Linked DNA regions of Struthio camelus. The protein of the gene in region 4 purifies or fractionates together with the protein of the main gene of each other region. This does not show direct contact. Links are inferred from orthologs where the notes say so. Each region holds a gene or a part of one and is shown on either strand. Other genes may lie near its edges. The genes, in order: KCTD5, PHLPP1, ARHGEF6 and NHERF2.

Evidence for each region.
Region 1: the proteins of NHERF2 (region 4) and KCTD5 purify together in Homo sapiens (affinity purification with mass spectrometry; 3 studies listed by BioGRID and IntAct, with this or other methods). This does not show direct contact. The link is inferred for Struthio camelus from reciprocal best matches to the Homo sapiens genes NHERF2 and KCTD5.
Region 2: the proteins of NHERF2 (region 4) and PHLPP1 purify together in Homo sapiens (affinity purification with mass spectrometry; 3 studies listed by BioGRID and IntAct, with this or other methods). This does not show direct contact. The link is inferred for Struthio camelus from reciprocal best matches to the Homo sapiens genes NHERF2 and PHLPP1.
Region 3: the proteins of NHERF2 (region 4) and ARHGEF6 purify together in Homo sapiens (affinity purification with mass spectrometry; 3 studies listed by BioGRID and IntAct, with this or other methods). This does not show direct contact. The link is inferred for Struthio camelus from reciprocal best matches to the Homo sapiens genes NHERF2 and ARHGEF6.

What each region holds. Positions count from the first base shown.
Region 1 is NC_090956.1:285,267-292,730, forward strand, and holds the start of KCTD5 (BTB/POZ domain-containing protein KCTD5), read right to left. Parts: upstream 3,001-7,464; 5' UTR 2,894-3,000; coding exon 2,651-2,893; intron 1-2,650. UniProt on the Homo sapiens protein: Its interaction with CUL3 suggests that it may act as a substrate adapter in some E3 ligase complex. Does not affect the function of Kv channel Kv2.1/KCNB1, Kv1.2/KCNA2, Kv4.2/KCND2 and Kv3.4/KCNC4.
Region 2 is NC_090943.1:92,380,757-92,388,661, reverse strand, and holds the start of PHLPP1 (PH domain leucine-rich repeat-containing protein phosphatase 1), read right to left. Parts: upstream 3,006-7,905; 5' UTR 2,809-3,005; coding exon 1,431-2,808; intron 1-1,430. UniProt on the Homo sapiens protein: Protein phosphatase involved in regulation of Akt and PKC signaling.
Region 3 is NC_090952.1:22,989,791-22,996,831, reverse strand, and holds the start of ARHGEF6 (rho guanine nucleotide exchange factor 6), read right to left. Parts: upstream 3,009-7,041; 5' UTR 2,940-3,008; coding exon 2,775-2,939; intron 1,805-2,774; exon of another isoform or gene 1,750-1,804; coding exon 1,666-1,749; intron 1-1,665. UniProt on the Homo sapiens protein: Acts as a RAC1 guanine nucleotide exchange factor (GEF).
Region 4 is NC_090956.1:2,049,818-2,056,730, forward strand, and holds the start of NHERF2 (Na(+)/H(+) exchange regulatory cofactor NHE-RF2), read right to left. Parts: upstream 3,019-6,913; 5' UTR 2,922-3,018; coding exon 2,712-2,921; intron 1-2,711.

The DNA.
Region 1 (7,464 bases), about 1.8 Mb from region 4:
AATACCATATTCCCGTTCTACATTTCAAATCAGCTCCAGTCCTGTTCCACTGTGGGTTCAACAGGCTACTCACAAGTACAGGGCAATGCAATTTGTTCGCATCTTTTTAAACCGGTTTCCACCAGACCTCTTTATTGGCAAGAAAAGAGACACCCAATAATATCTGAGCAGCTCAGATAAAGTATAGACATCTTCCTTGTAAACAGAGCTACATCTTCCTGCACCTGTGACTGCAACCGGTTTTACGTTACCACATACACTATTAAAAACTATAGCCTATTTAAGTCCAGAAATATGAAAGGAATACATCAGGTTTCTCCATACCCTACCAAATAGCTAAATAATCTTAGCATAAATGTATCATTTGTTGCTACAATCCACTGATGCAAACACCGTAGAAAGAAAAAGGTTAGAGATTAGTAGCTCCATACAGTTTTGCAAGATATAAACACTTTACTGACTATTCTTGTGAAAGACGATTTAGTCATCAACTGATGAAAAAAGTCTGCCAAAATACCTTAATTAGGACTAAATCACATCTTCTAAAAACGTGCCTAGTCTCTGAAGACATCAAGAGGTAGCAAATCCACAGCTTCTTCTAGTGGATTAACTGAAACACGTGCCTTAACTATTAAACGTGTTATTTTTTATTTAAGAAACCTGAGAAGAAAGCTTTTGCTTTTCTTCCCAAGTTAAGACAGTTGTTGACTCTAAGCAAGTCACCTAGATTTTTTATTTCTTTTTATAGGTCAGTTTAAGCTAAGCCTCTCCAGAAAAAACAAACTGAACCAAAACAGAAGTAAAAAAAAACAACCCCCAAACTGCCATACCGTGAGGTATTTTTTCCATAACTCTGGAACATTATTTAGGCTCTGTTCTATATTTTCTCAAGTGTTTCTAGATCTTTTTTTAGAAGTTAGGCATGGGAAAATGAAGAGATTTACTACTGGTCTCACTTAAAAAAAATAAAATACAAAGAGAAATTATATATCTAAAAATCATCTCTTTATTCTTCATGTGTTGTTTATCTATTCAAGGATCACAAGCTGTTTCTTTCTTTCTCCTAAGGGTGCTACACTGGAAGTCCACTTTTAGTGCAATATGCTCTGAAATCTCTTTTGGAGCCAGCGCTTTCGAAGATGGTCTTCTGTTCTACTAGTATATTCTGTATTCTCTGTTCCCAGATGCATGACTTTGCATATCTGTCTGTCCCGGAACATATTTGGTTTGAAAAGACCCAGTTTTCTAAGCAATCCTGATTGTTTATCTGAAAGCTTTATATCCGTTACTACACGCCACTCCATACATAAATTTTTAATCAATAGCTTTTCTTTTCCTAGTAAAAAATGAATCAGAATCAATACACAAATATCACCCCTGTGATGCAGCCCATACAGTATATATAATATTCCACTCAGAAAACCTGCTGAGACACAGAATGCTACAACCAACTGAGAAAAGTTATTCTTCTAACATGCTGAATTCTAGCTTCATGCAGTATTCTTTAACAACAAGCAGAGAGATCCATACAGAAAAGTAGCTTGATTTGGTTCTTCAAATCGAACTACAGTGATGACAGTGCAGAAACAGCATGACATCAATGCTAGCATACACTCCACTAAAATGCTAAAACTAAATCCATAAGGTAAGTCAGAAAACCACAAAAATTAAATAAACACATAAACGATCCTGAGCTCCCTTTGATATGTCCGCACGTATGTGACTGTGTTATTCAAGAACCAAATCAGTCTGCAAGAGATCAGCCCATACCCACCCTCCAAATAAAAATTCCTTGAAGTACGTGGGCTCGTTAAGCAATGCTACCCTTCAGAAACTCCCCCAGCAGCGGCAGAGCTACAGCCCGGAATACCTGCAGACCGAGACCCGACCGCGCTCTCGCAGGACCCAGCTCCGCGCTCCCCTCTGCTGCTGGCAGCGCTCCCCGCAGGAAGGCGGCCCCGCGCCGCCGCCGCCGCCCGGGCTCCACGCGGGACCGCGGCCGGGGGAGCGCGGGGCCGGGGGGGGAGCCGGCGGCGGACGGGCCGGCCTGGGGGAGCTGGCTGGGGGCCGGGGGGAGGGAAGACGGCGGCAGACGGGGCCGTTGGGGAGCCCGGGGCCGGCCTGGGGGAGCCGGGGGCGGGGGGGAGCCCGGGGCCGGCCTGGGGGAGCCGGGGGCGGGGGGGGGAAGACGGCGGCAGACGGGGCCGTTGGGGCGGGGGGGAGCCCGGGGCCGGCCTGGGGGAGCAGGGGGCGGGGGGGGGAAGACGGCGGCAGACGGGGCCGTTGGGGCGGGGGGGAGCCCGGGGCCGGCCGGGGGGAGCAGGGGGCGGGGGGGGGAAGACGGCGGCAGACGGGGCCGTTGGGGCGGGGGGGAGCCCGGGGCCGGCCGGGGGGAGCAGGGGGCGGGGGGGGGAAGACGGCGGCAGACGGGGCCGTTGGGGCGGGGGGGAGCCCGGGGCCGGCCGGGGGGAGCCGGCGGCGGGGGGGGGAAGACGGCGGCAGACGGGGCCGTTGGGGCGGGGGGGAGCCCGGGGCCGGCCTGGGGGAGCAGGGGGCGGGGGGGGGAAGACGGCGGCAGACGGGGCCGTTGGGGCGGGGGGGAGCCCGGGGCCGGCCGGGGGGAGCCGGCGGCGGACGGACCCGTGCTCACCTTGTCCGAGTCGAGGTCGGGGTCGGCCTGGCAGAGGCGGAAGAGGAAGGACTTGGGGTCCCTGCAGAGCGTCTGCCGAGTGGTCAGGAAGCAGGTGCCCCCCACGTTCAGCCGCACCCACTTGCCGGGGACGGCGCCGGGGGGCGGCGCGGAGCTGCAGCGGCGGCAGGGCGCGCCCGAGCCTCCCAGGCTGAGGCCGCCGATCGGGGGCACCGGGAAATCGCAGTGGTTCTCCGCCGCCATTCCCGCAGCCGCCGGAAGCGCCGCCCCAGCTGCGCCTCCCACCGGAAGCGCCCCTCGGGGAACCGCTCCCCTCCCGCCGCCGCCGCCGCCGCCGCCGGCCCCGCCCCCGCCCCGGAAGCGGCGCGGCGCTCGCCCGCCCCCCCCCGCCGCCGCCGCCGCCGCACGGAGCAAGGAGGAGGCGGAGGCCGGCCCGGACCCTACATGCCTTTATTACAGACTACCGAGCATAAGTGAAATCCATCATCCAGTCACTAGCTACACATGTACAGCACAGAGATCTGTCGAGAGGAAAATAAACAGTCATTAAATTATGAGATATGATTAAATCATCGACCAATAGAAAATTTATATAATAAAGCCAGAAAAAAGGTGTAAAATATAGTTTACAATAATTATTCACATTCAAGGCTGTACATCAATACATACAACACCATGGCCCCGAACATGAATTCAATCCAAATAATTCATATATTAGAATTTAAATAACATAGACTGAACTAGAGGCCAACAAGAGCCAGCAAATAACCTTATAAGAATAAAAATACAAAAGTGTGTATCTTATCATTGCAGTATCTGCTTCCATTTTCATATGTTCTTGGGGTAGGGGAATTGTGTGTGAGAGGGAGAGTGGCTGTTTGGGGGGGTGGGGATTTTTTCCTTTTTTCTTTTTTTTTTTTTCCTTTTTTTTTTTTCTCCTTTTTTGCTTTACCTGTACATCACAGTTACAGCTACAAACCAGGTAGAGAATATTATACACATAACTGACTGCCACCAACCTGAAAAACACTAGCATACAACTATCAAAACTGATTATGGTTCCTAATTTTTTTGTCAGATACAGCAATTTTAAGTTCTGCCACCATTCAGAACATTTGCCACATCCAATCAGAGCTGGTACATGGTCATAGGATGTTTTGTCAAGTGGTAACCATCCAAATTCACTGCCATGCAGACAGACTAGGTTACTGGGTGCTTAAGAACTTCACCATGTTCACTGTATAAAGTCATATTTCTTAGGAAAAAAAATGAACTCCTCAATTCATCACGGTCCTCATCTTAACTGAAAATGTGCCATTTTGGGTCAGAGAATTACTTGCCTGCAAGCGCACTTGATCAACAGATGGACAATGTGTGTCATGAAGCTTTGCAGGAGGAACAACTCCTTTTGATTAATAAAATATTTGCCTAAAATACTACAGGCATTCAGTAAAACTTAATATATAAATACCACACCTATTTGTGTAATTCCCTAGTAGAAAGAATAATCAGAATCCACAGACCACATCTTTAGACAACTATTAATACACAAGTTTTTCATAGATGAGGTGTTCAAATTAAGTGTTCTTTCATCCACAGACCAAAGGAAGTTGTTTTGACTTTGCTAAATCATTCAGAAGAAAAATTCATGTGTGGAAAATCCCTAGGATTCTTTAAAGCTCCCAATACAAAATTTAGTAATGTTAAGCACAGTCATTAAGCATGTTGTATTATGAAAGTGGAGTAGATGCATCACATCTTTTTTCAACCTGCTGAAGTTTTTCTGGGATTATATATAGCAGATACACTTCACAGTTAAATCATGGTAGGAGGAGAAAAACAATCAGTGGAGCGCAGTACTATTTGGTAGGTTATGGTGTCTTCAGCATCTACTGCTTAGCAAATGACAACTTATTAGCCCGGGTGGCTAATAAGTCATAATATAATAAGTATAATAATTAGTCTGCTCCCACTGCTTTGCCATCACATCTGAAGTTGAAAGAGGTACAAAAGTCATCTTCAAAGTCCAGTTTTGAGCAGGAAATATTTTAAGGACAGTGGCAATTGAGTAATTTCTCCATTTTTATCAAAGAAGTTCCAAACTTTCCATGACTGGGCTAGAAACTGAACAACGTGGCTCAAAAATCCTTTCTAGTAGTAGTACTTCAGCCTTTAAGCTCCACCCAATACAAAAACGATGCAACAACCACTTTCCTGAACTTCGAATCTCAAACAAAACATGAGTCACATCATTAACCACCAAAATCTTTACAAATGATAGGTAAGTGTTCAATTTGCACAAGACTGAATGAATTACGAGACTGCTTTTTTTAATAGGGTTGCAGTGAGGAGCCTGAAGAGTCTTTCAGTGATTAGCAACCTTTTTCTGCTCGGAAAGACCGCAGATTAAGAGCAGGGAGAGTAACTTGTTTATCTGCAGCTTTGAAAAAATCTCCCTCTTGTATTTGATTCCATGAACTCCCATGAATCACTGGAGTAGTCTTCAAGACAATGATTTGAAATTATCCCATTCTTCAATTATACACATCTAAAATAGGAACTAGCCCTTCATAGTATGCAGCACCTTCCAATACACATTTAAGTGGGCAAACTGATGAAACTTACTTAAATCCACAGTTGTTTGTCTTGCCTCACCCTACCCTTCCACCATCTTCCAAGAACTACAGCTTTCACTTAAAGTCAGAGAAAGGCAAACACCTCTCCCAGAAAAGCTTCTGGTCCCTTCCCAAAAAAGCAGCAGTTGAGGAAGACTCAATTCAGAACATTAAAGTTCTGAAGGGAAGAATGCCTGTAAGAGAGGCTCACAGTTTTCTAATGATGCCATTGTCAAAAGAAAAAAAAAAAAAAGAAAAGAGAAAAGGAATACTAGAATACAAACATCAATTTTCCAGACTTCTGCAGCTTACTGCTGTCAAGATTTCTTTGGTTGAAAGTTTTTGGGGGCAGGGAGGAAGTAGACAGAGGAGTTTCTTTTACGGTATGAAAAACCAAAGGAAGTATTTTGTTATGGCAAGATGACTGCACATCTAAATGTTATAGAAAACATGTCTGAATATTTTTAGATTTCCACATATTTAGCTGAAGCTAAGGCCAGTGGAGATCACTCTAGTTCCTACTGAAGCTAAGAAATTCACTAGTAGCAGAACAACTTTGCCAGAGACTCTTGGAAGCCAAGTTTTGGCACACTGAACAACTGCAGTAGCATCATGAAACTCCATCACTGCCAGACTCTCCAGTATGAAGTTGGGAATATGTCTATATCTCTATACCAAAAGCTAAATCCAGAATCTGTACAATTCCCTCTAGTGGACCCAACTTACAGGTGGAATTCAACAGCTACAGAACAAATGGGTACCACCACCACAAACTCAGACTGCATGTCATCTTGGTTATGATGATAACTATAGGTTTAACAAAAGGTGTACTGCGCTATTCAGATTTCACTGGCGAGGAGTCTGCCTTCTATGTGGTGAAATTTCTTATGATGGAACGTGAACGGTCTGTTTTTCTTATCTCGGACACCTTAGCTCCCCTAACACCGGGCACTGTAAGCTAGTGATTTACTTTTCTCAAGCCTGTGTATATGGTGGGATAACATAAAAGACAACTGCAAGAATATAGTTTCACCAAATGAAAAAGCAACTGCACTGTCTTCTTTAAAGACCGGAAGAGACTAAGAACTGAACTGTCATCAAGCTTAACCACACAATACTTTTTTTTTTTTTTTTTTTTAAAAAGAATGCACAATAAACCTCCCTCTCCCAGTACAACAAATAAATCTAGCTTTCATGCATTTTCTGAGACATCTGATAAGCCACAAAACAGCAGCCTGTGAGTTTTCTTAACATTACAGCTGAACTTTTTTCTTTAGTGGAAGGAAAAAGCACTTCATAACAGACCTCAAGAGGCAAAGAGATGGTGGTATTTGCAGAAGATGAATAAATAGGTGTGATGTTTATACTGCTTTTAAAACAAGGAAGGAATGCCTTTGCCCAGACCTGGGTCATCCCTCTCTGCAACGTTCAGGGACATGGGTGTGTTGAAAACACCATTAGGGAAGTCATTTTAGCATGTAGGAAAAGTTGTCTTTGCTACATTGCAAGAAATGTTTGACCACAAAAAAGCCTTAATTTGAAAAGGATAAAGGAGACTGATATGAAAAATATTTTCATTTTATAGATATGCCTTAAGTACCATACATTTTCCCCTTTGTATTAACATTTTCATTTGAATTTTCAACCATTCAGATTACTGTATGGGTCTAACACTTAAACTGTTTAAAACTTTTTTCGGAATTGCTAAAAGGTCTGAAGTATTTGCCCAAAGACCAAAAATAGGATTATTTGTACATCTCATTATACAAAGAGACAAAAATCAAGTAATCAATTGTACAAAGTTTTCACTCTTCCTTCTCTACCCAGGTAAATAGGTTGGCCCCACTAAAATGCACAATACATGCACACCCTGGAAAGAAAGCTTCCAGCCCTCATCTCCTGAAAAGGTGAAAAACTATTTTACTACTTCAACAGTAACTTTTTTTTTTTTTTTTTTTACACTAACTAGTTAATTTTTTAGTTAGCATTAGTTAAAAGCATGCTGGTAAGTTTATTGTCCCTTGATTAAACACACGTATGCATCAAATTAAAATTAAAATTCAAAGTTTAAAACTTTATATGCTTCAGAAGCCAACATTTCAATTTTAGAAAACTTTCAGTGCCATGTTCAGCATTTTACTCTCTCACAACCTGTATCATCGGAGTCCATCTGCCAGACACATACATCTGATTCATTCA
Region 2 (7,905 bases), on a different chromosome or scaffold from region 4:
CTGAAGCAACTACTGACCACCTCTCCCACATTCTCTCCTGACTAAAGAAGAGCACTTGTTTAGCGTACTGTTCTCCTTCCCACCACACCATTAAAATCTCTATTTTACATTCACTGGTATTCACAACGGACAAGAATCTCAGTATTTTTGAGTCCTAAAGCACCAAAGTCTCAGGGCTCAGTCAAGAACCACGCTGCTAAGCCAGCTCAGCAAGGGGATGTCATTTGTTCCTACTTTGGTAGCACTACTTATCTTCGGCCTTATCTTCAGACAGCATGCTGTCCTGCAAAATAGGTAAATGTAGTAAGTATTTGAATGTATAATTGGACATTAAACAATTTCTCCTCTTCTTAGAGAGTGGCCAAGACCGTTTAGGAAAACAAGCAGTCCCTCAAGATTACAACAGGTATTCTATACAGACCAATTCAATTGGCACAGAAAGTATTTTTAAACCACTATAAAACTGCAAAGTGCTGCATAATTACAACGCGGGAACTAACTTTTCCACCTATACTCCCCGAATTCTGCACCACAAGCCTAACAGCGAGGCTGCCTTAAATAGCTTTCGTATTTTTACGATTAAGATTTGGATTAACTTGTTTCAAAGGCTATGCTCCGTATTGCCATACTTTCCTTTGCCTCCTGCCTTAATCTCGCTGTGAAGCCCTGCTACCCTAACAGACAGTTCCAGCTCTAAAAATTGATCACAAGTGCCAGCAATAGAGAAAACTAAGTATAGGATTTTGTTTGCAGGAAGGCATCACGCTCAGTTCAGGAGTTTGTGCACCCTGTACAATTCATTTCAGAAGTTAAACTGTGAGGATCTTCCCTTACATCCCTTCTCAATAACCCCACGTTGCCCTCAGCGCCGTTATTAAGCAATTTAAAAGACACACCACAGCAAACAGCTAGACTGAACCGTGAACGAGCCATCAGCATTATGCAAATGTCTGAAACGGGCTTTGACCTTCCGCCCTGAAGAGCGGCACCAACGCATCTATCTCCCTTCCCTGAAGAAGGCGACAGATTAAAACCGATTTAACCTCAAACGCCGGGCGTCGCTGATGGGAACAGCAAACAACCCGAGAGCAGCCTTCGTGACCCCAGCGCGCTACGAAACACCGGCCCTGTGGGGGCCAACGGGAGCGCTCAGGCAACCGGCAACTGCCAGCACCGCTAACGGCCCCGCCGCAAATCCGCCCCGCTCCGGAGCCGGGGGGGGGGAGGGGGGAGGAGGAGGAGCGGCGCTGCCCGCCCCGCACCGGCCTCGGCGCCTCCCGGCCGCGCCGGGCAAACCCCCTGCCGCCCTGCCCCACAGGCCGCCCCGCCGCCGCCGCACCAACGGCCCGGGCGCGCCCTGACGGTCGTTGTCCCCCCCTCCCGCGCGCCATCCCACCTAACGGTCGCCGCCGCCCGCCCTCCCCTTTCACCTGCGTAGAAGCGGATGAGGCAGCCGGTCTCCGAGTCCATGCCCTCCTCCTGCACCCGCCACAGGTCCCGGAAGCCCAGCTGGGAGAGGTAGTCGTTCTGGATCTGCAGGGGCTTCTCGTGGGCCTCCAGCCGCCGGCTGGTCTCCCCGTGCAGCTGCACGTACAGGGCGGGCGGCCCCGGCGGCAGCTCCCGCCCGCCGCCCGCCGCCGCCGCCCTCGGCGGCTCCCCCGGGCAGGGCTGGCCCCGGCCCGGCCCCGCACCTGCCTCCTCCCCGTCGGGGGGCACCGGCTCCACCTCCAGCTCCTCCGAGGAGGACGAGCCGCCGCCGCCGCCGCTGCTGCTGTAGGGGTCCAGCCGGTCGGAGACGCTCTCGGCGCTGGGGCTGAAGCTCTCCGTGTCGGAGCCGGCCGGCCCCAGCTCGCCCAGGAGGGAAGGGCAGGACAGCGGCGGCCCCGCCAGGTACAGCTCGCTCGGCGGCGGCACCGGCGCCCCGGGGCTGAAGTCGGAGGGCGCCGGGCTGGGCCGGCCGCCGGCCAAGTTACCCTCCTCGGCGCTGCCGCCCAGTGGCAGGCGGCCGGGCCGGGCCGCTTCCCCGCAGTCTGCGCCGGACGAGCCGCTGCGCGTCCCCCGGTGGCTCCTCGGCTTCTCGTCCGGCGGCGGCCGCCGCCTCTCCGCCGCGGGCTCGGGCGGTGCCCCGGCGGGCGCGGGGGGCTCGGCGGGGGCCGCCGCCGCCGCCTCGGGCGGGGGCTGCGGCGGCGGCGCGCCCGCCTTGCCCAGGACCCGCACCACGCTGCTGCCGCCCCTGTGGCCGAGCTGCTGCAGCCGGGCGGCCACCTCGGCCGCCGTGGTCTCCAGGGTGCAAAGCACCGGGCGCAGGTAGCAGTTCATGTGGCGCTCGTAGACGTGGACGCAGCCCCGCTGCAGGTCCCGCCGCACCCAGTCCCGCTCCGGGGGCTGCAACGGCTGCAGCTGCCGCGGCGGCTTCAACAGCAGCGCTTTCCTGTCCAAGCTGCGGGTGCCCAGCGAGGCGGCGGGGGCAGCGGCGGCGGCGGCGGGCGAGGAAGCGGCGGCCGAGAGGTTCCTCTTCAGCCTCCCCCTCCGCAGGAGCAGGGAGTTGGCGCTGCCGGCCCCGCCGGCGGCCGCCGGAGCCCCGGTGGCCGCCAGCGCCGCGGGGGGAGCGAAGCCGCCAGCCACCCCTCGCCGCCTCCGCGGGCCGCCGGCTCCTTTACCGTCCAGCTGCCCGGCCCCGCCGCTGCCCGACGGCTCCACGCTGCTCTCCGCCGCCTGACTCCTCCTGCCTGGGGAGCTACTCTCCGGCTCCCCCCGCCCGCTCCCCGCCGCCGGGGCTTCTCTCGTTCGCTGTTGCGCGGGCTCCATTGCCCGCGGGGCCGGGGATGCCGCCGCCGCCCTGCTGGGAGCGCCGCTCCACGGCCCGGCCCGGCCCGGCGCGGCGCGGCGCGGGGGGAGCGGCAGGGAGCGAGGCGCCGCGTTCCGTGGGGATTACGTAGCAGCGGGGAGCATTCCGCCGGTGCCGCCGCGCCGCGCGCTCGGCTCAGCCCCGCTCCCCAGCTGTCGCGAGCGCCATTAGGGAGGGAGAGGGCGGGCGGGCGGGCTCTGCCCTCCCGCGCCCCGCGCCTCATGAATATTTAAGCAGCCCCCGCCTGGCCGTTCACAAGAGCCGCCGAGCGAGGCAGGCTCGCGAGGGTGACGCCACCGCTCGCGCGGCGCGGCGCGGCGGGGCCTGGCCGATAAACACAACGTGACCGCGCCTGGTGCCGGGGGCGGCTGGGAAGCGTAGTCCAGAGCCCGCCCGCGGACTACGAGTCCCGGCAGCACCCGCTCCCCGCCGCGGCGGGGGGTTGCGCCGCTGAGCGCGGCGGCGGGCTGGGCTGGGCTGTCTGGCGTGCGCGGCGCGCTGCCGGGCGGCCGGGCTGCTGGCGGCCCTCACGCCGTGCTCCCGAGCGTTGTCCCCGGCGGGCGGCCGGGCGGCCGGGCAGCCTGCCGCCGCTTGCTGCCGCTGCTAAAGGGCGCCCGCCTGCCGGGCCGAGCACGTAGAGCCCTAGTGCGGTCCCGCCCCTGCTCTCCTGCCCGCCGCGCGGGTGGCGGGGCCCGCTGGGCTGCCCACCCTAGGACCGTCGTGTTTCAGAGCTGCCCGCTTGCCACCGCCAAGCTTCCCTTGCGCCTTGCTTCCTTTCCTAGAAGCTGTTCATAGGAGCTCCTGTGGGGTGAGAGCACGCCGAGGGGGCGAGCGTGAGGGCGGGAGTCCAGAACATACTGGAAGTCTCTTCACTTCCAGTCGTTGACCCTGGGGAGGTGTGCTATGCTGCGACTCTTTGCGGCACGGGGCTTAAGCAGTTTTAAAATTATTCCAGGACTTTGTCCCGTGCCTGATGATTATATTCCTCAAGTCTTATCAGAAGGTTTTGCAGAAAGAGCTGATCAAGGGAAACGGTATGGCCTGCAGCACTGATAATGAGACCTGTGGGCTGTCACCCTTCTGCTGTGCCTCGCTATGAACACCGGTGCTTCACAGTAATTGCTGGCTAATAGCCATCTGGCAACATACACGACATGATTTTACAGGTTCATTGACCATAGCCATGCCATTCTCTTAAACCTGACATATCTTCCTTATTGCCTGTCTCAGCTGAGCCTGAGCTATCTGCTCATCTGAGACAGTCTCTTCAGAGTCAAGATGTAAACGTGTGCGTGGGAGATAGAGATATATATATATAGATATATATTTGTATGTATATAAAGAGAGAGAAAAAGAGCTGCTTTGTGAGTAGGTGCACAGAGTTTGTGTGCTATTAGCCTGATGTGTTCAGGGACTGAAATTACTGAAAATACTTAATTTTTAAAAAATTGCTTAGTAGCAGCAGCAGTTGGGGGAAATGTTGCTATTTAATAACATGATTTTAAATGAATTACAGAAAAGATAAATTACAATCAGATAAATGCAATTAGCAGCTGAAAGCATGAGTTTTTATGCTGTAAGGACAGAGTATTCAGAAAAATCTCTTAAACTCATGGGGATGTTTTAGCTGAGTAATGTCAGTTGGATTAGGCTGTAGCTGCTTGAGATCTTTCCTTTTTAATTTTGTAAAACTGCAATGAAGCATCTTGCCAGATATTCATCAGAAATGCTATAGACTTCAATAAAGTGGGAGTTCTGGGCAATTAACCAGTTACATCAGTGTTAGGGGAGATAAATCTTCATCACTGAGAACCCTGAGATAAATCCTCAGTGTCAGTGAACCAGTACTTTTGGTTAGTTTTTTTTTTAGTACATACGCATAATATATGAACCATAAATAAACCAGAACCATAATAAAACTAAAGTTTATCTCTTCTAATAAAACACTCCTCCACCCTTGCACAGTATTGTCTTCACACCCTGTATGAGTGGGTTAAACACGTCACAGAAAACAGAGTTATTCCCTAAGGAACCTACAACAGAATGTACATATATAGAGAGTTGTTATTAAACAGCTGTCTACCTTTTAAGAGATTTTGTAATACCGAGGATCATGTTTTACCTTTATATGGAAACCATCCACTTTGTGAACAGAGCAATCTGTAAATTAATTGTTATGTTGTGATCCTGCCGTTCGCTCGTCTATATCTGCAGTTCCAGTCACCAGCAAAACGTCTTTGGAGTTCTTCCTGCGCTAGATAGCCAGAATCACATCCCAAACATAAACTAACAGAGGGTGATGGCAACACTTGGCCGTAAAAGGATTAAACTGATGCCCAAAAACTCCAACGACGGTAGCAGTACATGCTATAAGAGCAGCACTGAGCGTGTTGCAGTCTGATTCTGACTGCTTCGTACGTTCTCTTCAATTTTTTCTGCTGATTTCACAGCACCCTAATGCCACCAGTTTCACTACAGTTACTCCAGGTGTCTTGATTTAAGTGTGTGAGAATAAAGGCTTACATGCAAACACACACAGATACACTCAGCAGGAGACAGTAAGTTGTAGATACACATGTTAACAGTAATAACTCCTTAAATGTAAATAACATAAATAAAAGGGAGCTTCTAGAAAAGTTTGCTGCCCTGGAAGGAAGTTTTGTTGCTATTTTGCCTTGGAGGAGATAGGGAGGGAGCAGGGAGAGAGTGTTCATAGTTAAGATTGCACTAAAAAAAATCCAGAACACAAGAGATTCTCAGATATTATTTAGGAACATAGAACTGGAAAAGAGATCTCATGGGGACATCAAGTTTTCTCCCTTATGACTGCTGATACCGCATCCCATAGTGCTGCGTGTTTGTGAGGTCTCCCTAACACTGTAGATTAACTTCTGGCATATCGTTTTGAAATGGGCTGACTTGATTTGCCATCGAAATGGAAGACAAATGGAAGACAGTGCCCTAATGGCTGGGAACTTTCTTCCCGTTTTCAGTCTGAATTTACACATGGGTAGCCTATACTCATTTGTTCACAAGCCAGTATTGCCCTTTGACTCAAATAGCTATTTTTCACTTCACTCCCGTCAAGTATTTTTCCCCCAATGTACTTATAGGCAGCAATTGTATCCCCTACCAGTCTTCATCTTTGTCTTTGTCTGACAGACTAAACAAGGCAAGCTCTTCTCATCTCCTCTGGTGAGATAGTCTATATAGCGTAAGAACACACAGCTAAGGTCATTTAAATAGCCTTGGATCAGATCCTCGGTGGGGTGAACTGATAGAGCTCCTGCTCTGATTTACTCTGAAGCTTTCTCAGTCCACGCAGAGCAGCAGCAATCTGCAATACAGCTCTGAGAACTGGCGAGCGACTGCACTGACCTCACTCTTCCTGTTGCTAGGCTAACTTACCACTGCCAGGGGCCTTGCTAATGAAGAGCTTTATGCAATTAAAAAACAAAGTAGTGGTACTGAAGTCCCAAGGGTGGAAAATTGTTGGAATTATCACTGCTTTGTGAAAACTGTTCAGGAGCAGAAGGCTACAGTGAGACTGCCAGCATCCTCTAAGACCTGAGTTGTGCCATCAGGAGAAAAGAGACCACATTGTAGCTCTTCATAGTTTTCTGAATATGAAAGCAGTGGTTTCTGCTGTGACTCTACCTGTCCAAATGTCAGTGGTACAAAGCCAGGTTATTTCTACTTTATGCAGGGAAGTGTTTTTCATCAGCAATGTCTTCCTATATTTTCTTATATATATATATTTGTGTATTTGAAATCTGTAATTGTATGCATATTCAAAGTGAACTCCCAGGCGTATGACAAAACTGTACTATTCACTGTTTTCCAGTAACAGATAGTTTCTAATTCTGCTGGAATGGTGAATTTTGATATAGATTGACCGCTGCTATAAGACATGTGAATTGAGCTTAGGAAATTGATTTTTCTCAGGAGGAAGTGGAAGGATGAAATACACATTTCCCTTTTCCAAAGTTTGATTGACGACGGCTGTTTGGAAAAAAAGCAAAATGAAACAAGATGATTTGCAGTCTTGAGTTTTCTGACCAGAATCTGGCAATCTTGAAGAAGAGTTTTCTGTAAACAAAAAACTAAGGAAAAAAAAAAGAAATTAGCCACAGATTGCTATAAATGCTTCCATACCAAAACTCTTTATATCGAATGAACAACTTATACGCTGCCATGGATAATCTGCTAGGAGAATGCCAAAAGGCCTGGAAACCACAAGATGACTTTGGTGGACTTTATTAAATATACGGTTATCAGAGACAGGGAGATCTCTGTGCAACAAGAGCAGACCAAAGGTTAGGTGAAAGCTTCGCAGATGCTGGAGTTGCTGCGGTGCTTGCTGGCTACCCCTCCGCCAGCAGTTAGCCCAGCTACAGTGGGAGACGTCAGGCTGCCATACGCCCTCTTATTGCTCAGTAGCAACCATAGAGCTGATTGAGTGAATAACTGTAGTGGTGCTTGGAGTACATTAACTCCTATTTTACTACTTATAAAATCTGCAGGAGGGCAGCCTCCCCTGTTTCGCACAAATTCCCATAAAGCCCTTGGGGACACCCTGTGCTGTTACTAGATATTTCTACAGGGCAAGGGACAGATTATGGGCATCAGTTGATCTCTGTGGTTTTACTTTCTCATTGCAAGCGTAGAGGAGTGGACCAGGTCCACCTTCGGTTCATTTTACTGCAAGTTCTGTTCTATATTAACATTTTACCATTTCAGTTAGTGTAATCCTGGCTATTAGCTACAATTAATAGTTAGCTGGCGGGCAATTCAGTGACACCTTACTGCTTTTCTCTGTGTTTTCTGAAATACTTCCAGCTGTCATGGGATAGTACAAACTGCATACAGCTTTTGTGGAAAAACACTTTTTCAGTTTTACCATGAACTATTTTCAAACGGATTTTTTTTTTTTTTTACTATATCAAATATGCAATGATTACCCAGTCTGATTTTTATTTTGAAAGATATCGTTTCAAAATAGTGTGACCTCAGTAAACAGGAATTGCTTAATCCCCAGTCCTTGACTATAGAAAACT
Region 3 (7,041 bases), on a different chromosome or scaffold from region 4:
CCTGTTTTCACTTGGTGCTCTAATATGACTGTTACTAATATTTCTGGTACCATGAAAAAACAATGAGAAATTATTTTCATTTGGCTGCAAAATTTAAATGCAAGCTTGAGAGATTTGAGCTTTTATTTAGCTTTAGAGGTCTACTTTCGATTTGAGCTTTTATTTAGCTTTAGAGAACTGAGAAGGGGCAATCACGTGCACTATGAAAGTAACTGAAGGCTCAGAGTATTTCAACGATTACGGGGCTTATAAATCAGAAAAACAAAAATTTGGAACTCTTTTCTTAAAATAAAACCAAGAAAGAAAAGGAACAAGTACGATCAGAGCTGCATCCAGGGCTGGATGCAAAATATTGCCCATCCCTAGTATTTGAAAATTGTGAAGTGGGGCTGCAGTATTTCAGGACCAGATTAAAAATTATGAGATTTTAAAGCGTGACAGAGTTCAAGACTGTTCCCTTGACTTGTATTTTTGCAGTTTGATTCCTATTTTTAGTGTTTTCCACCACAACAATTATGACTAGATCTATTTTTTAAATAGAAAAATAATCTCTCTGAAAAACTGAAAAAAAATCACATGGTCAAGTACCAGAAGACTGGCAACACTGATTTCTGATCTGATAGCCCTTCAGTGATTCTATATGTGTCTGCTCTTAAAACTAGGCTGCTGCAGTAGGCTTTTAGCAATGGATTAGTGGGAAACAACAGGCTAGTTAAACACTTCTGGAATGAAGGAATTTTCATGCCGGCTAGCTAAAAAGAGAAGAGTGTCTCTTTTTGCTTGTTTAGACCTCCAAAGGAAAAGCACAGCAACAGGGCTGCCATGGGTTCGACCCTCTCTCACTGTGGTGCATAATTTTCTGTAATGCCCAAGGATGCTGTTCCCTACTTCTAGCGGAATTTATCTTCAGAATATATATATATATTTTTTGTAATGTGGATAAAACTTCAAACAAGTTAGTGACAGCTCTTAGATACAGGGTCCTTTTTACTGTAGAAATTTAAGGGTTATATCAAAGTTTTTAAAAACATTTTAAATGCATGTGCATTTGTAAAAATATAACGGCAAAATTATCTGAACTCTTAAGTGATGCATTTGGACTCTGTTCTTGTAAATACGAACGATGATTAGGCATAAGAATCATACAGCACCAGGAATAGCCACTGAAAAGTTATCTTTTGTCTACAATAGGATTATTTGTATGTATAAGGACCACTTCATATGACGTATTTGGCAGAATCTCTCTCAGTGCTTGCAAATGGATAAAAATACTGCAGTATTAAGAATATTTCACCTTTATACTAAAGCAAGGCTAAAAATGGCAAGCCCTTGTGGGGGAGGGAAAAAAAAAAAAAAAAAAACCAAAGCGGTCAACACAGCTCAACTGTGTTTAGACAGAATTTCTGTTATCGCTGTGTATATTTCTATGTGACTGTTTAGATTCCTCTCAAAGTCTTGAAGGAATCTGTTAAGCTCACAGTCAAAACACTCCATTTCCAAATTCTCCAGCCACAATATTACATTACCCACATTCTTATTCACGTTCCCGATACAAAAGATTAGGAATGACTACCTGCCCCTCTGGTATTTGGCTTCCTTTTAGAATATATATTAAACAAGCACATTATGAGAACAAAATAATGTGAAGGATACTAGTTGACTTACCTCCACTTTAAAAACTGCACAGCCTTTTAGGAACTCTTGAATATTACTGATGCAATCAGCTTCATTTTTAGGCTCCAGACAATACTAAAGAAATAAAATCCACCAAGATCACTATGTTACCTTCTGCACAGCCTCTATTCAGAAGGCCTGCATGAATATTGACATGTGCGTTTTATATTGAATTAGGGAAGCTTCTTAAGGGGGCGGATGGGGGTGGCAGGCAAGCTGTCGAACCAGGAAGAAAGAGCCACCGGAGGAAGTGATGCATAAATCGAAATGGTCGGCATCTTGTTTTGAATGTCAACATACGACAGTGCCCTAAAGCGATAGTGGGAAACTGATGACCTTTAAGAATGCACTGCCCCAAACCATCATATATAAACAAGAGATAAGTAGCTAACAAAAGTGATTTTTGCTTTTTAAACAAAGGCACCTATTTTACAGGGTGGGGACGAACCTGCTTCTTCCTTTAATTAAAACAGATTCTCTTCTGTGCTGCCATTTCCTATCTCTCATCACACTCCTTCCCCTTTTTTCCCCACAGTTACTTATCACTGTTTTGGACTGCACACACATATGCCTAGCAAAACCCTAATACAAGGTTCTCAGATGGCTTAAACTGCTTCAACATAAACGTATTTGCTTGACTTGAAACAGTTCAAAATGGCACGGATGCAAGGTTCATTTACTTCTAGCCTCATCTTGCTCTCCCCAATGTACTTCCTGAATAGCAAGGTATTTTACAGTGACAGTTCCAAACTATATTTACTTCTATAGAGACAAACCACACATCCATCTGTTCAAAAATAAGGTGTTTTTTGACTTTTGGTAGGCCTAGTATTTCCTCTGCCGCTGAAAGGAACACCTAAGTCGCCAAACTACAACCTTCTGGGTTTTTGTGGATGTTAAAGAGAGAAAATCAAAAACCGAAAGCTAGGATCCTACTTTACCCTAAGTTAGATTTAACTAGTAACTTAAACATGTTGATCTTGCTGATCTTCCTCACTCATGCTACCTACCAAAGAAAACCATATCCTATAATAAGCAGTGCACTATTTCACCAAACAGCGCTCTAACTTCAGGCTAGTGAAACGTATCTAAAAAGTTACCTTTTCTGCAGATCCTGGAAGAAGGCGATTAATGAGTCTACAAAGCACTATTCCATCTTTCAGAGAAGTTTTCAGGAACTCCTCTGGATCCTCTACTATTTTCTTGGGAGAATTCAAAACTCCTAATGAAATAAGCCATGTTACAATTTGCTCTTCTGGATTCATTGCTGAGAGTTCTGCCTTCACTGCACTTCTGTGCAACAACTCGCTCTAACCCACATCCGTGATTACATCTTCCTGCCTCTTCTGGCGCGTGCAGGGCTTAAGAGTGAAACGACTTTTTTTCACTGGGCACTGAAACTCACTGAATTTTAAGAACCAGAACTATAGTTACTCTAAGGTAGGAAACGTCCTTGTACAATGGTTTACAGAACTCTGTTACTTCAAAGGGATATAGTGAAAGCATACCTACTACACATTTTCAGCATTTCTGAAAACAGAAGTATTCTGTGCAGATACTTATATTGTACCAAGGTCTTACCTAGTTACTTTCTCCTTGTGACAGATGTCATTCTACAACCTGGTAAGCTTGGTCTTGTGGCTATTGTTCAACAAAGTAAAGGTCAGTATTTCCTAGTGCACTGCAATATTTACAGTATTAAAATTGTATGTTACACTACAGATGATTTGGGGGGAAACATGCCATGCAAGCTTTTAAATAAAATTTAATTTTTAACTTTCTGAGGTAAAGTCTTCATTTTAAATCACTGCCATTTTACAACAGTTTTCCATTTGCAAAATCTGATTATGATTCTAATCACGCATTTGTCAAAATCTCATTTTTTTCCTCAACTATTTTATACAAGAAATAAACATATAATCCAAAATGTTCTTTTGCAAGATTACCATCTGTCAAAGCAAACATCTTGGGTAACTGTGAAAACTTCATAAACCAAATTTAAGTCTTTTTTTATATGAAGCAGAGAATGAAAATTTCCAACTATTTTACTTGTCCCATTAAAGCGTCCCTTTCTACAAGCTCTCTACAGGATCTACTGCATGAGGATAGAGTCGTTTTAGGAATTTTTTACCCTGCTCTAGGGTAATATTAGCCAGCACTACTGGTGATGTTAATTTAGTAGAGTCCAGTCATCTCACAGTTTTCCAACTGTCCTTTCACCAACAGACAGAAAACTACCATTTTCTAACCAACTCATGACTCCTAAGAAGTTAACTAGAGCAACAGGGATAGAAAGCAATGAAACAGGAAGAAGTAACTATCCTAGAGACCAAAAATTCTCTGACAATGTTCTAAATGATAAATCAATTCCTGAGCCTGTTGCTTGAAGCAGCTGGTTTCAAGACATCAGCTCTCTTGAATCGCTGAGGCTTATAATTTGAGGTGTAGGGAGAAAGAGAAGAGCAAAAGGAAAAAACTACATGCAAGGTATGTGTTGTTTTGTGTCCCCACTTTCCAGGTCCTACGACTGGGACATACCTAAGGATCATTTTTAATAGCTAGTAGTAAGAATTCAGAACTGCCCTTTTAGGTTTAGAGATTTTTGGCCACAGGATGTTGGGATGAATTCTGTTTTATATGAAAATACTAGTAACACTAGCAGCTGCCAGAGTGAATGGTTAACACTGACTGAAGCTAAATCACAAAACTCACTGCCATCTGGTAAAGTTCATCTATAGCTATCCGTATGTGCAGAAAAATTTACTTGAAATTTATAATTAGAGACCCTCAAAACAGTAGGCTTTTTTAAAGTTCTCATGAGCAGTACTATTTTGTTTGTGGAAGTGCATACTTGCACTCTCCACTTTCAGAGCTTGCCTTTTCTCAAATCTATAGTAGGCAAGATAATTGGCAATGCTCATTCATATACTGTGGCCCACCATTCTCAAATGGAAGACATCCACTCCAGTATTCTTGATTAGAATCCACCGGCTTCTGATGTAGAGCACGAGAAGTACTTCAAGGAAGGGAAAAATCCACACCTGCTTCATTAAACGCGGTACTACAAACCTGAACGCCAAAGAATACTTTGCTCATTCCCCCCTCCAAAACAAGTATCTAACCTTTCATTTTTTGGCAGACAGTCTTAAGAGTTCCATGCCTGTTCTGCATCCATCAGTTGCAACTATGATTAAATGAAAATACCTCTGACGTGCTGGACACGTACCAACAGCTCGAAAGACTGACCCAGAGCCATTTGCTCTCTCACACATTCAGAAAGCCCCCAAAACATATGGTACTCTAACTACTTTGAGGCCAACTTTTACATCTTTCAGAACATCAGGATCCCACTGAAAATGTACCGATGTTTTCACCTCTTCTCACTGGTGAAGTAATTCTGTGGCAGAACCACGGGTATCGAGGTAGATCCACAAAGTGAGGAACAGTTTCTTGTTTGGTCTTTCTTTGGAAAAGTTATCATCTCTGATCTCAACATTAGCTATCTGCTGACAGGGACAAATCAAACGAACTGTCAATCTTCTCATGCAGAGTCAACCTTCACCCCTAAGTTACCAATAAACTTCTATTGCAGTCTGATTCAGACAATGACTGATAATGACGATAGTATTAGCTTTAGAAAAGCATGTTGGTCTACAATCTCCTTTTAAACTAGAGACTTTCAAGAACGTAATTTGAGTCAGCGCATAAGCTAATGGGAATGCAGCACCAACATGATCTATTTACCATGTTAGGCAGACGTAATTTTTGTTCATACAGTAGCTCGTGTGCTGGGATTGTATTTTAGGCAGCCGCAGCCAGACGATAAACTACGGCTAAAAAGGCGTCTTTTAATAGCACAGCATATCACCATTCTTGAAGAAATGAGGTGCATTCTCTAAGACCTCTTCATAACAATAAACTTCCATTACTGTATAATAATGGTAACTATTTCCACCACGTACGTGTAGCTAAGAAGCAAGGAGTTCCTTAAACAAGCTAATAATGCTTTTGTTTAACAGTAAGTTTATTAGCCCTGGAAAATAATGCAATTCTGTCCATCGCCTTGCTACATACAGGAAGACGCACTCCCTAGAGTTTGCAGTCCATAACTGAAGCTCAAAGTGAGAGTCTTACCCCAAACCCAAAGGCAGTTTTAAATTCTTTCAGTAAGAAATGCATGTTTTCTTTTTAAGCTAATCCTTATAGACTAGGTGTTGTTTAAATAAAATCAGTTTATGTCTACAGTACAAGAAGTCAATATAAACTTTATTAGCCATGACTGTGTAAAGATTTCCATCAATCTGTAGTTAGCTTTATGAAAAAATGATGACTGAGGATTACTCTCGTATACATTGGCACATCAACACTTATGAGGGTATGAATGCACCAAAACCTAGGTAAATTAAGAAAACATCTTGTTTCTATAGAACGGCACATGTATAAGTAGTAGTAACGCTGGCTGGAGTTTTTCTGAATACTATTCTGGGGATTTATCACAAATATGGTTTTATCAGCACTTCCTTCCTCCCATCAAAAAGGCTTGAACAGTTATACCACTGTTAATGTAAAAATGTCATACAACTTTTATCGGTCTCTTTCTTTGTGAAGGACACCCTTTTCCTCTGCATTTTGGAGGGCTCAAACTCACTTTTATGAAACTTGCTCCTTTTTTAGCACACAACAAAAGCACCCTATGTGAAGAGCACCGCTGGAATGTTCTTCTGCTGCACAATCCACTGATGCATGTATACTGACTAAAAAAAAAGGGCTTACTACTTAGAAGAGGTTAGCTGCAGAAACAGCAACTGGTTTCCACTTATCTGAGAGCTTACATCCAAGAGATAAGTAGCACTACTTTCAGATGCAATTCCTGAATGAAACACAGCCCTCTAAAACAAATACTGGTCAACATCGTACTCAAAGCCCAAGTTTTATCTGTTGTATTTTGTTATCCTTCGATTTTCCAACACATCTCCACTGCTCCAGTGCCTTCTTCCAGTCCCCATAACTGAAAAGAGGAAAGTCAAGTTAGTACACTCTCAGAAACCAGCAGACAGACAAAAAGGCTAAATAATCTTTGAGTTGATCAATGTATTTATACATGCACAATGCAGACATTTGGGTTGTTTTCAATTTGTGCCAAGGGTATGAAAATACATCAGTACTTAACTACAACAATCGAAACAGTCTGAGGTCTACCTGTATTCCTATTGTACAACAGCATCTCCGGGGGGAGCACCAAGTAATTCCAGGGTACATCCCTTCAAAACTGCCACCACAAAATCCCACTGGCTCTCCCATAATAAACTGGTATGCACATACGCACATCTGTAAATAACGTTGTGGTGTGAACTGAATTAAAAACGC
Region 4 (6,913 bases):
GGGCTGGGAGCAGGAGCTGGGCCCGTCCTTGCTACTCCCCAGCTCCCGGCTCGGCTGAATGGGGACCATTGTCCACGCACAGCCTCCGTTTTCTATGGTTTTTGTAGCTGGCAGATGCTCTGAAAGGGGCTCGCGGTGTCAGCCCAGCGCGGCGGGAAGGGGCGAGCCTGCGGTTCACGCACAGGGAAGCGAGAGCTTTCCCACCCTGCGAGTCGCTCCCTGCCCCGGCTCGCCCCGCGCACGAGGGGCAACAGCCCCAGAAGGGCTGGGAGGCAAAACCATGGGGCTGAGCCAGGGCAATGGGAATGGGGCAGGTTAAGGACATACATAGGAGCAGGGCAAAGGCCAGCGAAACCGCTGCCACGACTCCCTGCCAGCAGCCTCGGTGGAGAGGCTCCAACAGGCTGAACAGCACCTTCCTCCTGCAGGAGCCTTCATCCTGCAGAGGAGGAGGAGGAGAGGTGGCTGGGGGGACAGATGCTGGCCCCTGCATGGCACTCACTCCCCTCCCGCTCACCCACGGGGGGATCCCGGCATCAGCCGCCCCACGCAGGGGCTGTCCGACCTTCCTCGACAGGCAGAGCCTGCCGCGGATCCCAGACGAAACACAACCCCCTTCCTGCCAGCATCACAGCTTGTGGCGCGCGCATCCGCCCCAGCAAGCGGACCCCGGAGCCACGGCGCTCCGGGTGGCCCAGGACACCCCACAAAGCTGGGCTGCGTTTCCTTACAGGGCTCCTGCTCTGATCTAGGTCACGCCAGCCAGACACGTTACCATCGCCAAGGTTAGAAGTGACAAACGAGCCTAATGTGCAATTAGTTAGCAGTTATTTACTCCCCTGCATGCTCCGTTCAAGGTCAACAGACTCCGTATCTGCAAATGAAAAAACCAAGGCGAGATTTATAGGCCGCAGACAAGGCTGCTTGTCCTGAATAAACGACTGCACTGAATGCCGAAAACCATCTCCCTGCACCGTACCGGACGGCAGCTTGCCCAGGGCTCCCATCCATAACCGACCTGACGAGATGCTATTCCACCGAAGCCCAGAAAATCCATCTGCTCCTTTTCAGCTCCGTTTGCACACAGCAGCAGCCGCCTACGCTGCCGACAAGGGCCAGGCAACACCATTGCGAGGCCATTTCTCCTGCGAGGGAGCAGGCACGGGGCGGCAGGAGAGGTGCCACCAGGCAGCGCCTCGGGGGTGCACGCAGGAGAAAGGCAGCTGGGTGCTGCGCCACTGCGTCCCTCCCGCTCTGCCCCCAAACCATGCAGCTGGGTCCTCCAGGCGCTCATGCGGCAAAGTCACCAGCTGAGAACAGGGTCACACAGACCACGCCAGCTCCTGGAGGGAGCAGCTGACCCACTGCCAGCATGGGAACTCAAGGGTCAGGGATTTCGGATGCTGTCCCTGCATTGACCCCACTATGGGGAAGCTGAGCGCTGGGTAACGCCGTGCAAAGCCACGGCATGAAGCAAAGCGCTCTCCTGCTTGGAGACCCCCAGCTCAGTTGCTAGTGCTCCAGCCTGGCACGGCACGAACTGCTCTGCCAGCAGACGGTGCATCGGCACCAGGGCAGGGAGGCACCCACGGGTCCCCAAACGCTTTCCAACCCACTGCTGCCTCATGGCAGCAAACCCTGGAAGAGAGGGACCAGGCAAGCGCTGGCCAAGGCCTGGTGGGTGAGCTGCCGCTGAGCGGGGCACGGAGCAGTGCGGGCACACCAGCCACAAGTCGCTCCAAACCAGGTGCAGCAGGAGCGGCGCCAGCATCCTCGAGCCCAGCTCTGCTCCCGGCAGCACCGTTCCCGCACCTCCATCCGCACAGACTGTCACCCCAGACTGCACCAGCGGCACCAGCGTAACTGAGCCGGCCGGCGTCTTTCCACCCTTGCCAAACACCAGCTGCCTGGTGAGGCGGCTTCACCAGGCGCCGCTCCGTCGCTCGCTCTCGCACAGAGCGAGCCAGCAGCGTGCAACTCGCCCATCCGTGCAACGGCTCCCGGGGTGGACCGAGGGCTTCCCCCCAACCCTATCAGCACCGCGCACACCCCACAGTGGTGGAGATACTCAGACCCAGGAAGGGTTGGGCTTATCTGCAACCTCCACCTCTGCCGAGAGCACATCAGCCCCGTCGCTGCCAAAGCACGGCCCCGCGCGGCCGAGGGGCTGCAGCAGGAGGCCCGCGCTCCTCCGAGCCGAGGGACAGGCACCCCCGTCCGGCACTGCTCCTCCAGCAGGATGACAAGGACCAATGGCACCTCTGGAGCCCCTGGGGACCAAGCCCTCAGGCAAGGGCCGCTCCAGAGGCGCACAGCCCTGCTGCCCAGCAGGCCTCTGGGACAAGAGCCAAACACCCAGAAAACACATTCTGCTTTGGAAAAAAAAAAAAAGCAAAACAAAAAAAGGCAGAGCAAAGATGCAAATATCATCAGCTTCAGCCCAAAACAGCTGCACCAGAGCAGCAAGGCCTTGCCCACTCCAGGGTCCATCCCGGGGCAGCTCCGGGGGTGTCTGCAGGAGCAGCGCTTGCTCGAGGCCAGGAGGAGGAGGAGGAAGAGAGGCCCCAGCAGCTCCCCCAGCCCGGCCTTGGCCACGCTCGCCCCCGGCCGTCCCGGGGATGCTGCGGCAGCAGCTCCGGCCCGGGAGCAGGATGTTAACTAACTTAACGGGGCCCGCGCCGCCGCGGTCCGGGTCCGGGTCCGCTCCCCACCTGGTGGTGCGTCTCCTGCTCCACGTTGAGCCCGTTGACGGCGACGACGCGGTCGCCGGCGCGCAGCCCCGCCGCCTCGGCCGGCGAGCCCGGCTCCACCTTGCGGATGAACTGCCCGCTCTTGCCCTTCTCGCCGTGCAGGTGGAAGCCGTAGCCGCTCTCCCCCTTCAGCATGTGGCACAGCCGCGGCTTCAGCTGGTCCTTGGCCATGGCCGGGCGCGGAGCGGAGCGGGCGGCGGCGGCGGCCGCGCGGCCCTTTTATGTGCGGCGGCGGCGGCGGCGGCGGCGGCGGCGGCGGGCGCGGGGCGGTGGGCGCGGCTGGGGGCGGCCCTGCTGCGCGCTGCCCCGCCCCCAGCCCGGGGCGGGGCTAAGGCCAGGGGGCGGGGCTAAGAGTGGGGGCGGGGCTAAGACCCGGGGGCGGGACTAAACCTCGGGGGCGGGGCTCAGGGCTGGGGGCGAGGCGCGGCCACGCTGCGCGCTGCCCCGCGGAGCCGGGAGCGCAGCGCCGGGGCGGGGAGGGGGCGGGGCAACGGGATGGGGCGGGGCTAAAGGCAGGTATGGGGGCGGAAGGCTAAGGGACGGGGGCGGGGCTAAGTGCCAAGGCGGGGCTAAGGGGAGGGAGCGAGGCGCGGCCACGCTGCGCGCTGCCCCGCGGAGCCGGGAGCGCCGCGGAGGGGCGGGGGCGGGGCTGAGGGCGGAGACGGGGGCGGGGCCGGGCGAGCGACGAGGCGGGGGGGGCCGGGCCGGGCCGGGGTCGCGGGGCCGCCCGGGATGCCCGGGACACATGGCGGGGAGATGCCCGGGGTGCACGGAGCGGGGCCGCCCGGGATGCCCGGGGCGCACGGCGGGGAGATGCTCGGGGTGCACGGAGCAGGGCCGCCCGGGATGCCCGGGGCGCACGGTGGGGAGATGCTCGGGGTGCACGGAGCGGGGCCGCCCGGGGTGCCCGGGGCACACGGCGGGGAGATGCTCGGGGTGCACGGAGCGGGGCCGCCCGGGGTGCCCGGGGCGCACGGTGGGGAGATGCTCGGGGTGCACGGAGCGGGGCCGCCCGGGATGCCCGGGGCACACAGCGGGGAGATGCTCGGGGTGCACGGAGCAGGGCCGCCCGGGATGCCCGGGGCGCACGGTGGGGAGATGCTCGGGGTGCACGGAGCGGGGCCGCCCGGGATGCCCGGGGCACACAGCGGGGAGATGCTCGGGGTGCACGGAGCAGGGCCGCCCGGGATGCCCGGGGCGCACGGTGGGGAGATGCTCGGGGTGCACGGAGCGGGGCCGCCCGGGATGCCCGGGGCACATGGCGGGGAGATGCTCGGGGTGCACGGAGCGGGGCCACCCGGGGTGCCCGGGGCGCACGGCGGGGAGATGCTCGGGGTGCACGGAGCGGGGCCGCCCGGGGTGCCCGGGACACATGGCGGGGAGATGCTCGGGGTGCACGGAGCGGGGCCGCCCGGGATGCCCGGGGCACATGGCGGGGAGATGCTCGGGGTGCACGGAGCGGGGCCGCCCGGGATGCCCGGGGCACATGGCGGGGAGATGCTCGGGGTGCACGGAGCGGGGCCGCCCGGGATGCCCGAGGCACACAGCGGGGAGATGCTCGGGGTGCCCAGGACCCCATTTCTCTCCATGTCTCCGGAGTGGGAGAGGTTCCCACTAGGATCCTGGGCTCCTTGTCAACAGGGGCCGTGGCTAGATCTCCTCACCCAATACCTACATAGCTTCCACCGAACGCTTCGTGTCCTCCATACGCTCCGGCCGGGGCGGATGGCGTTCCTCAGCATGCGGGTCCAGCGTTTCGGTTGGAGATGCAGCGACAGGCCCTGCTATAGCCCGGACAGCCTCCTGCTCCGTCCCCAGCGCGCCTGACAGGCGCCGGCCGGGCTGCAGCATGGCGCGAGCTGGTGTTGGTGGGACGCACAGGTTCCCCTCCTCGCCCTTGTACGTCCCTGATCGGCGTTTCCTTGAAACCGCTCACAAGGCAGAAACGAGCCGGAGGAGAGGCGCTGCGCCGACCGGCCGGCCCAGCCGGAGCGGCTCGTCCTGCTCCTCTGTCACAGCGTGTCTAGCTTTACTCCGTGGCGCTGCTCCCTCCCCAGCTGCTCTCCAGGCAGATTTCTGTAGAGCTGAAGCAAATGCAACAGCCAACTTGAGGCTGCAAATAAAATACTCTAGAGATGAACGTTGATTTGCTTTTTAATTTGCGGTCTATTAAAAAAAAATATTTCCACTGAAGCTGTACATGAAGTAACTCTTGGTCTGAAAGATGTTTGAATCGAGAAGATGCTTGCTAAGTGTCTTAGAGGGAAGGTGCTGTCCTGGAGTGAATGGCATCACGTACCTCCGTCAAGAGTGACCAGCCAGATGCCCTGTGCTCCGTACGGACTTCGCACGTAAGGAGACGGCACAACAGCGGGTATCGCTGGGACCAGCGAGATGGTCACCGCGAGCGCTCGGTGGCCTTCGCTGAGGGCAATAGGACCACCAGGCAGGAGCGATTTCAGCGCCCGGCTGCGGGGTCAGCCCTGGCGCTGCCTCGCCGCCCCTTGCCGGGAGGTTTCGGCCGGGAGCGGAGGCGCCGGGGGAGGCCGCCGGCCGCCTCCGCCGGGCGACACGAACGGAGGCCAGAGAGCCGGGAAATGCGGCGATTATCGCCGTGTACCATGAGGACCCCCCGAGCTTCTCCGCGGAGTCGTGCAGCCTTTTTATCAGCCGAGGTGAGTGCGAATAATTGATTTTTCCGCTCACTGGGCAAACTGAAAAGCTGGAGGGAAGGGGAGAAGAGAAGGAATTGTTTCCAGTTTGTTTGAACGAAAACTTTTTTTCTTTTTATTCAGTGCAAAAACAAAAACCACAAGGGAGAAAATCTTTGGGGTGGTCAATCAGAACGGTTTTAACCCGTTTGAACAATTCTTTAAAAAAGTGTTGGTAACCTGCAAAATAAAAACATGGAAAAATACCATTCCAAAAACGTGAAAATGAAATTTTTGAATTTTCCTAAAATGCTTATTTTCTAAAGCAGAAGCTCTTTCTCAAGTCTTGTCTGAATTTGCTGCTTTCCCTTCTGTCCTTGTCATCCTCAAAAGGCATCTTTCCCCCCAGGAAACATCTATTAACGACAGAGAAATTAAGCAGGGCCAGCAGCCTGCTCGGTGCTGGGCGTCACCTGCCAGGCAAGAGGACGCAGCCCAGCCTTGCTGCCGGCTCTGCAAACTGCCCCGAGGAAGACTTGTGCGAGCCTTCCTCCCCGCGCGTTGCACTGCGCCCGTCAGCGGGGCAGCGTTTCCCAGGCTGCTCCCGCTCGGAGGCGCCCGACGCGCCGCGGGGTGACTCGCCCTCCCTCCTTGCTGCTCTAACCGCTCCTCCTCTGCGCGGCACGGGGACGACGCGGCCGAGCGCTGGTTCAGCCCGGCGGTTTTGCGCCTCTGCTTCCAAGCGTCGACGCGGTCTCCTGGGCTTTGCAAGCCGTGCTTTGGCATGGACGTGGCTTGACGAGACACGCTGTGTTTTGCGCTGCGGTCGATGGGAAAGCATCCAGTGTCATGTACGGGAGCTGGGAAGAATGTGGAAATATGTTGTGCGAATATGCATCCTCGCGCAGCACAAAACCCCTTTAATTCGCGAGAAGAGCTTGCCGTTTCCTAAGCAGCGTCGGCTGGACTCTGCAGCCGCGCAGAGAAAAAGCAGAGAGCCCATCAGGGCTTCTGCACTTACCGATATACCAGAGTCATGATTAGATTCAACAGATACTGCAGAAGTGAGGGGTGTTTTTTCCATTTAGATTTCTATGCGTTTTGATTTGGGCAAATATTTAAGTCTTAATGGGGCTAACTTGAAAGCTGAGGAAGTTTCCCGGCTCTGCATGCTTATTGGCTTGGAAGAATGTGCAGCTCTCTTCATTTGACATCTGCTCCAAAGCAAACAGGTTCATTTATAATTCATTCACTGCACTTTATTAAGCACTTACATAGAATTACACCTGTACGCCGACCGCTGCTTGCTCTAGGCCTGACAATATTCCCTAGCTAATGCAAAATACATACGCTGTGCAAAGTTTCACAATTACAGAAAGTGGGCTTGACCGGCAGCCTCCCTGCGGGGGAGAGGCCGGGATTTTTAAAGTTTGCACAGCAAAGTCTGACCTCATTCCCTGCTTCAGAAACTGCCCTCCCGAGAAATGAAAGGTTTCGCACTCGGCTTTGGGC